Linked DNA regions of Neurospora crassa OR74A. The protein of the gene in region 1 purifies or fractionates together with the protein of each later gene. This does not show direct contact. Links are inferred from orthologs where the notes say so. Each region holds a gene or a part of one and is shown on either strand. Other genes may lie near its edges.

Region 1 (4,314 bases):
CTCGTCGGACGCGAAGTTGTTGTCACGAAGGAGGGCATCGGTCTCAACCTTAAGATCACCCATTTTGCCCAGCTTCTCAACGAGGGTACCAAACGGATGCAGAGAAGTGATGGGCCAGCGCTTGATACAAGCCACGAAGATCTGGTCCGCATAGTCCTGGTGCTTCTCCACGAAGTCCTTGGGTGCTTGCTCGGTAGGAATGGCAATCAGAGGAACACGCTTGTCCGTGGGCTTGAACCAAACAATCTTGGGCTTCTCGTGGGAGCGCGAGTCTTGTTGGCGGCCATTGCCACCGTCTCTCGCAGCGCGTTCAGCTTCCTGCTTCTCCTTCGTAGCCTGACTGCTCGGGCGGAGCAGACCAAGGGTACCAGAAAACATTTGGCCGGGAACACGCTCAATAACAGCAACAATGTGACCAGCAAAGAGAGGCTGCTGCTCATCATTGATCTCCTCTTCCTCAACCAAAAGAAGACTTTGACCTTCAACTTCCACGTCGTCGTTCTTCTTTTGGGTAGGACGCTGTCTGAGGCTGCCACGGCGGCGGAGTCCCCCCTCAGCGTTGCCATTGTCGTCACCAGTATTTTGGCCTCCACTAATGGAGCCAGAACGAGTGTCGGTAATATCCTTGCGCTTCTTCTTTTCTTCCTTCTCGCGCTTCTGCGCCCACACTTCACCAACATCCAACAGCTCGACCGCAACGAGATCACCTTCGAGAGCACGGTTGCGATCCTTGCTGCCGCAGATGAAGATATCGGCGGGAAGCAGGCCATCCTGCGTCGAGACGTACGCATCGCTTCTGTTCTTCTTGTTCACGCGAAGAATACCAGAAACAAGCTGGCCGTTACCCAAGAGGGCAGGAAGAGTAGCTTGGGGAAGGTAAGGAGTGAAAAGCGTCTTGCGCTGCTGTTGCTGGCTTTGCTGACCAGGAGCAGCCATTTGAGGAGCGTGCTGGCTGGCGGCAAGACCGGTAAGTGGCTGACCATTCATCTGAGCAAGCTGAAGAGCCTGAAGCTGGTTGAGCTGCATCGGATTGAGTTGTTGGCCAGGGAAAACCTGGGGCATCATCATCTGACCGGGGAACTGAACCAGCTGAGGCTGTCCAGGATACTGGAAGGATCCAATCGAAGAGATGGACTGGCTCACCGAGCCGCGGCTGCGGTGACCGGGCTGGAAGCCCTGGCTCTGAGGAAGGGCAGCGGTCTGGTCCTGAGCCTGGTTCTGGTTCTGGTTCTGGTTCTGGTTCCTCCAGTTGCCGTCGAAGTTGCGGGAACCAGTGCGGGCATGGCCGCTACCAGGAGCGCGGCGGGAAAAGTCGCTGCCTTGGCCCACGGAGTCGGTAGAGAAATGGCCTCCGCGGCCACCACGGCCATTGGCACCAACAGCCATACTCTGGCTCCTGCCATGGCCGCCACGACCGCCACGGAACGACGATCCCTGAGCTATCTGGCCCTCCGCCGGAGCAGGAGTGGTGCTCGGGGTGGTCTTGGCATCATCCTCAGACTTCTCGGAGGAGCCAGGGGCAGGAGCAGCAGGGAACTGGAAGGTAGACGTCGTGCGCTTCTGTTGGGCGATCTCGGCGGCCTTCTTGGCATCAGCCAAGGCCAAGGAATGTCTTCTCTGATGACCGCCGCCGGATCCACCCCGACCACCACGACCGCCGGTGCTGTTCTCTCGGGCGTGACCCTGGGTGGGATCTTGGAAGTTGCCGAACGTCGAACCAGAGGCGCCGGCAGAGGGAGCAGGCGGCGGGCCCCCCATGCCCATGTTTGGAATGGCCGACTGATTACGGCGATGTGAAAGCGGTTGTGTAGGAGGAGCTAGGGGCGGCTGCTGCTGCAGCTGGACCGGGAACTGGAAGCCCGCCTGAGGCGCCAAACCGGCAATGGGCTGGAAGTTGGTGAATCCGCCAGGGCCCAGGGGTTGCGTGGCCGGAAGCATGCCGAGGTTGGCATATTGAGCTGTAATCTGCTGTTGCTGCTGCTGAAGGAGTTCGATCTGCTGCTGGATGGCAAGCTGTTCCACTGCACCGAAAAAAAGATCCAGTCAGTACGCCAGCGCATTGAAGAGGGGGATGAGGGGTTACAGTCAGGACACAAGACGGGAACGCGACGGGGTCAGGGGTACGATCATTGGCTTTTGAAGCTTTTCGCCACGAACAAGAACGGACCAGTGCAAGAGCGGTAGAGGGGCGCCGCGATAGTACACGATGGCAATGGCGATGACAATAGCAAAACTCAAAACATACTGTTCGTGTTTGAAAACATACTCATCAACGGGGTCAGCTCCGACGGGCTTCTTCGATGGGCGATATGGAGCCGTCGGCCGGCGGGGCCAGAGACGCCTCCTTGAGGCTGCTGTTGCTGATCCATGATGCAGGTTGTTGGGACGGACAGGTGCAGATGACTCGGGTGATCCAGGCAGAAAACGTGCACGTCGAGTGCGAATGCAAGGCGAAGTCGGCGTTGGACCTAAAGCGTGTGAAGAAGTAGTAAAGTAGAGCACGAGACGAGTCGAGTCGAGTCGAGTCGAATCGAATCGAGGCGTGGTCGACCGAACAGAGACGAGGGGGAAGGTTATTGAGCTGGGTTTATCTTTTTTGTGTGGCCGGATTGCCGTTGCGATGCATCAGATGCGATGGGAGTTGCGGTATGTTTGGTTGCGGTGCGGAGACGTCGCCCCAAAGGACAGTTTTGTTTCGCAGTTAAAGCGGATTGGATGAAAGAAATCAAGTCCAAAGAGGTTATAATGAGAGATTGAAAAGTTGCTACGAGGGAGTGTAGAGAGAAGGGAGGGAGGTGTCCGGCTTTGCTAGTTGACGTTGAAGCTAGAGGGAAGCCTGAAGCCGATGCGGATTGAGGTTCGTGAGGAGGGAAGGGGAAAGGGAGAGTGCAGGAGGAGGAGGAGTCGGAGGACGGGAGAAAGAGGTTCGGTGCTATAGGAAGTCAGGAGGACTGGGCCTTGGACCTGAGAGGAGGAGGAGGAGGAGGAGCAGAGCACTTTCAGCGCCGCAGCGGCAGTCAGCGAGAGGAACCCGAAAGGTCCATCCTTCGGCGGGCATCCTGGGCTGGCTAGGTTGTACCTAGAGTATCTACCTAGAGGTACCTACCTCACCTAGACTACATGCTAGTGACGAACTGATGCGTGAGAGGGAAACGACGGGACAGGATGGTGCCCGCCCGCCTGGCAGTCCGTCCTGCTGAGGTGAGTGAGGTCCGTCCCTCCTTGGAGGCGCATGCTGCAGGTGTACACGGTGCGGCGGCGGAGCATGGAAGGTCCGGGTTCACGGCAGGCATCTCTTACGGTTTCAGTTGCACCTATCAGCGGCGGTGCTGGGCAGTTGGCTGAAGTGGTGGGCTACCGTTAGTAGCGCCAGGATAGGTGCAAGCACGCAGGGTGTGAGGGTGGTGCACCGGATACCCCATGTGCGCGACACACCGTGCTCCTCTTCCCTTCCACTTACAACCCAACTACTACTGAATGAAGTAACCTTTGAGCCCCTTTTATAAAACCGTCTTTTCTTCCTGGCCTTTGTTCAAAAGGAAATCTGCACTCATGACATCCACTGCATACCTACTTCTGGAGTTTCTGTTCAATAGCCAAGAGCTTCGAAGAGTCGAGGACCGCGACAGGAGCATCCGGGGGAAGCTACACTACCTACACCAATCAACGATGCCAGTGGGGAAACGGTTCCTCAGCAGACTCGGGAAAATCACAAATGGCAGAAGTGGACACTCCCGCTAATCGTCTTTACCCCATACCTCATTTAGTTTAGATTCAGGATATCTCAAACATGGCGTATGCTGGGCGATGCTTCCCTGTCACGAATGTGTCTGCACAGGGACAGGGACGACAAACTCGAGATGTACTCGAAGATACGTGCTCGAACGTTTCTCTCGGGGAAACTCAACGGTGGTCGGAAAGAGGATCGCCAACCCATATCATGATGTGCCCGGCATCACCTGGGGAATATGGACTGGCCTTGCCGGCGTAACAGGGAAGACGTCAATGGTGATGGTGATACCCTAAACCCTGGATCGACGCGAGTACACCGCATACTGCAAGACGACAGCCGTGTCTCCCGTGTCAGAAGCTCCGGCAGGCTTTGGGGGTCTGTGTCTTTGGATGACGGTACGATTCGTAAAAGAGGTTGAAGAGAAGAGAGACACGGATACCTGCGGGAACTAATGGAGTTGCTATCTGCCATATACAAAGACCACAAGCTGACCTTCTTGACGATATTTGCTGTCCACAGCACCAATGGATCAAAGTAATACCTATGCAGTAACTTGCGATGAAAAGATGAATCCTTGATTC
Region 2 (2,513 bases), on another chromosome or scaffold:
GCCAGATGCAAGAGAGTATCCTCCCAACCAGCAGCGATTGAGACAGCTTCAGAGCATCGACCCGCAGCAAGAACTTCTGATACAGCACTTCTATGAAAACTCGGCCGCCAGGCTTTTTAAGCCACTGCTCGATCTCGAAGGGCAGACGGAGTTGAAGTTCCAGCCCATGCAGGAGTACATCTTCGGCTACCTGAACGACATACTCTGCTCCTTCATCCGACAACACCAACACAGGGCCAAGTACTTCCTCATCACCCACAGTCTGGCACAGCGCTTCGTTCAGTTGCTTTCATGCAAGCAAAAGCATCTGCAGCTCGGTAGGCACAGCAACTTGGGAACAATGGTTAAATTGTCGAGCAGAGGAGGCTAACCTGCATGTTAACTGCTTTTAGTGGCCATTCGATTTATCAAGCAACTGGTATTGATGAACGACGAATTTTACATGAAGCACATTGCAGAGAAGCAAATTCTCGGCCCTATTCTCGATGTGCTATTAAGAGCGATTACCCGCGACAACCTTCTTTGTTCAGCTTGCCTCGATCTTTTCGTCCTCATTAATAAGGAGAATGTTAAGGACCTAATTAAGCACCTCGTGGAAAATTACCGGGAAAAGATTATGGCGCTGTCGCACATGGATACCTTCCGCGAAATGGTCAGTCGGTACGACCAGACGGAAGGCTACACAACCAATCCCGAGTATTTCATGGATGAAGACGAAGATGAGGGACCAACTGCGGCCGAGAGCGAAAGGAGACCGACGAGGCCGACCTCCGGTCTGATGGAGGAACAACTCACCGTCGACCAGGCTCAAGAGGAATACTGGAACGGCGTATCGGACGAAGAGGATGAAGGACCTCAAAATGACTCCCATCGTACCAACGGCACCGCTACTACTCTTCCTCTGCTGAAGCCCTTAGTCGAATACGGCTCGGATGATGAAGACGGCGTGGCGGGTGATGAGGCAACTGCCCCAGCAAAGAAGGACGATGAAGACAACAGCGCAAAGTCGAACGGCGAACCACCAGTAACACCAACAAAAGGTGGGCCGGCCACAGCCGCCGCTGCCGCCGTTGTCGCCACCCCGCCAGAGAGGATCTCTGAGAAGCGGCGCCGTGAAGAAGACGAGGATGACGATGCGTTCGACAAGTTACTGCAGTCCAAGCGCCGAGGGAGCAATGCCAGTGCCGCGAGCGCCGGTGCAGACATTCGCAAGAAGATGGGTATCTCTGAGGATGATGGACCTGCGGCCGAGGGTGCCACCACCGAGGACAATGGTACTTCAATGGCAGATCGCACATCTCCTAACCCTGCTTCCCCTCTAGCTGCTGCCACCGCCGTCACTACGAGTCTAAGCACACCAAAGAAAATTGCTTTCAATATCTCTTCCAAAGTCAAAAGCATGCTTGGTGGTGGTGGTGGTGGGAAACCTTCGGAGCCGGAGGCAGATCCCAATACAACAACGACTAGCGCGAATGATAAAGCGCAAGAAACTTCAATAACAACGGGTGCTACAACTGCATCAGGAAAGGAAAATGTGAGGATAGGAGAAAGAGAGGAGAAGGAGGAGGGGAAGGAGACTTCAAAGTCAGTGGTACAAGAAGTGGAAGGGGAAGAAGAAGAAGATCCAAACGCAATGAAAGACTAGAGGCTGCCTTGGGTTGGGTCAAGGAAGGCAACGCGAAAGGGGGGAATGGGAAGGAAGGCAAGGAAGGGGAAAGGCGGAAAGTGAAAGCCAAAACTTTAGGGAGGCAAAATAAAGGCGAAAACACACATATATTCTTCATAGATATGGATTGGCACCGTACCGATTTGATTCACCACCTCACAAACAGATGAATATAGCCTGGTATATTTACAGTTCAACAATTTGTTCACGTCTTGAACCCGGTATAGTCGCATCGACAAGGCCGGGGTTCATGAGGCCCCCCCTCCTACTAACAGCATAGTAGTGTACATCAGATAACATTGTTCCCTCCTCTAAATTATTTTCATTCATTCATCCATATCAATTGGTCTGCATGGGTGCCCGCCAACCCATGCGATACGATGCAATACGATACGATACATTAGAGCTTTGAATCGGTCAACCCGGCTTTTTCATATCAGATTCCATAGGTATAGTAGTATAACCAGCTACTCTGACCAGGCCATTTGCTGTCCATCCCATTCATGCCCATTCCCGTGATTATAAGTTGCGAGAGGTATAAGACGTTCACATGACCAACATCAACTAGCTTTTGAAGTATATGAAAAAAAAAAAAAAAAAAAAAAAAAAAAAAAAATTAGAAAGTAAAAAAACACGGTAATATGAGAGGAGTAAGACATCTAAGATATTGTCAAGGGTCTGGCCTTTTCCTTTTGGTTTCATCTCTTTGCGTCCTTGAATACTGAAGAAAGAGAAGTGATATTCACACCCATAACCATAATCTTTTGAATGAAAACTTTGTGAAAATGTGTGGAAACGACAAAGGGGGGAAAGTCAGAGGAAGGAACAAAACAGCCGACCCCTTCAT

What was found.
Region 2: the proteins of gul-1 (region 1) and NCU06389 purify together in Saccharomyces cerevisiae (affinity purification with mass spectrometry; 3 studies listed by BioGRID). This does not show direct contact. The link is inferred for Neurospora crassa OR74A from reciprocal best matches to the Saccharomyces cerevisiae genes SSD1 and PSY2.

The regions. Positions count from the first base shown.
Region 1 is NC_026505.1:3,211,888-3,216,201, forward strand, and holds the start of gul-1 (cell wall biogenesis protein phosphatase Ssd1), read right to left. Parts: upstream 2,996-4,314; 5' UTR 2,370-2,995; coding exon 2,246-2,369; intron 2,022-2,245; coding exon 1-2,021. UniProt on the Saccharomyces cerevisiae protein: Can suppress the lethality due to deletion of SIT4, and partially the defects due to BCY1 disruption. Is implicated in the control of the cell cycle G1 phase.
Region 2 is NC_026504.1:2,673,476-2,675,988, reverse strand, and holds the end of NCU06389 (DUF625 domain-containing protein), read left to right. Parts: coding exon 1-317; intron 318-392; coding exon 393-1,645; 3' UTR 1,646-1,989; downstream 1,990-2,513.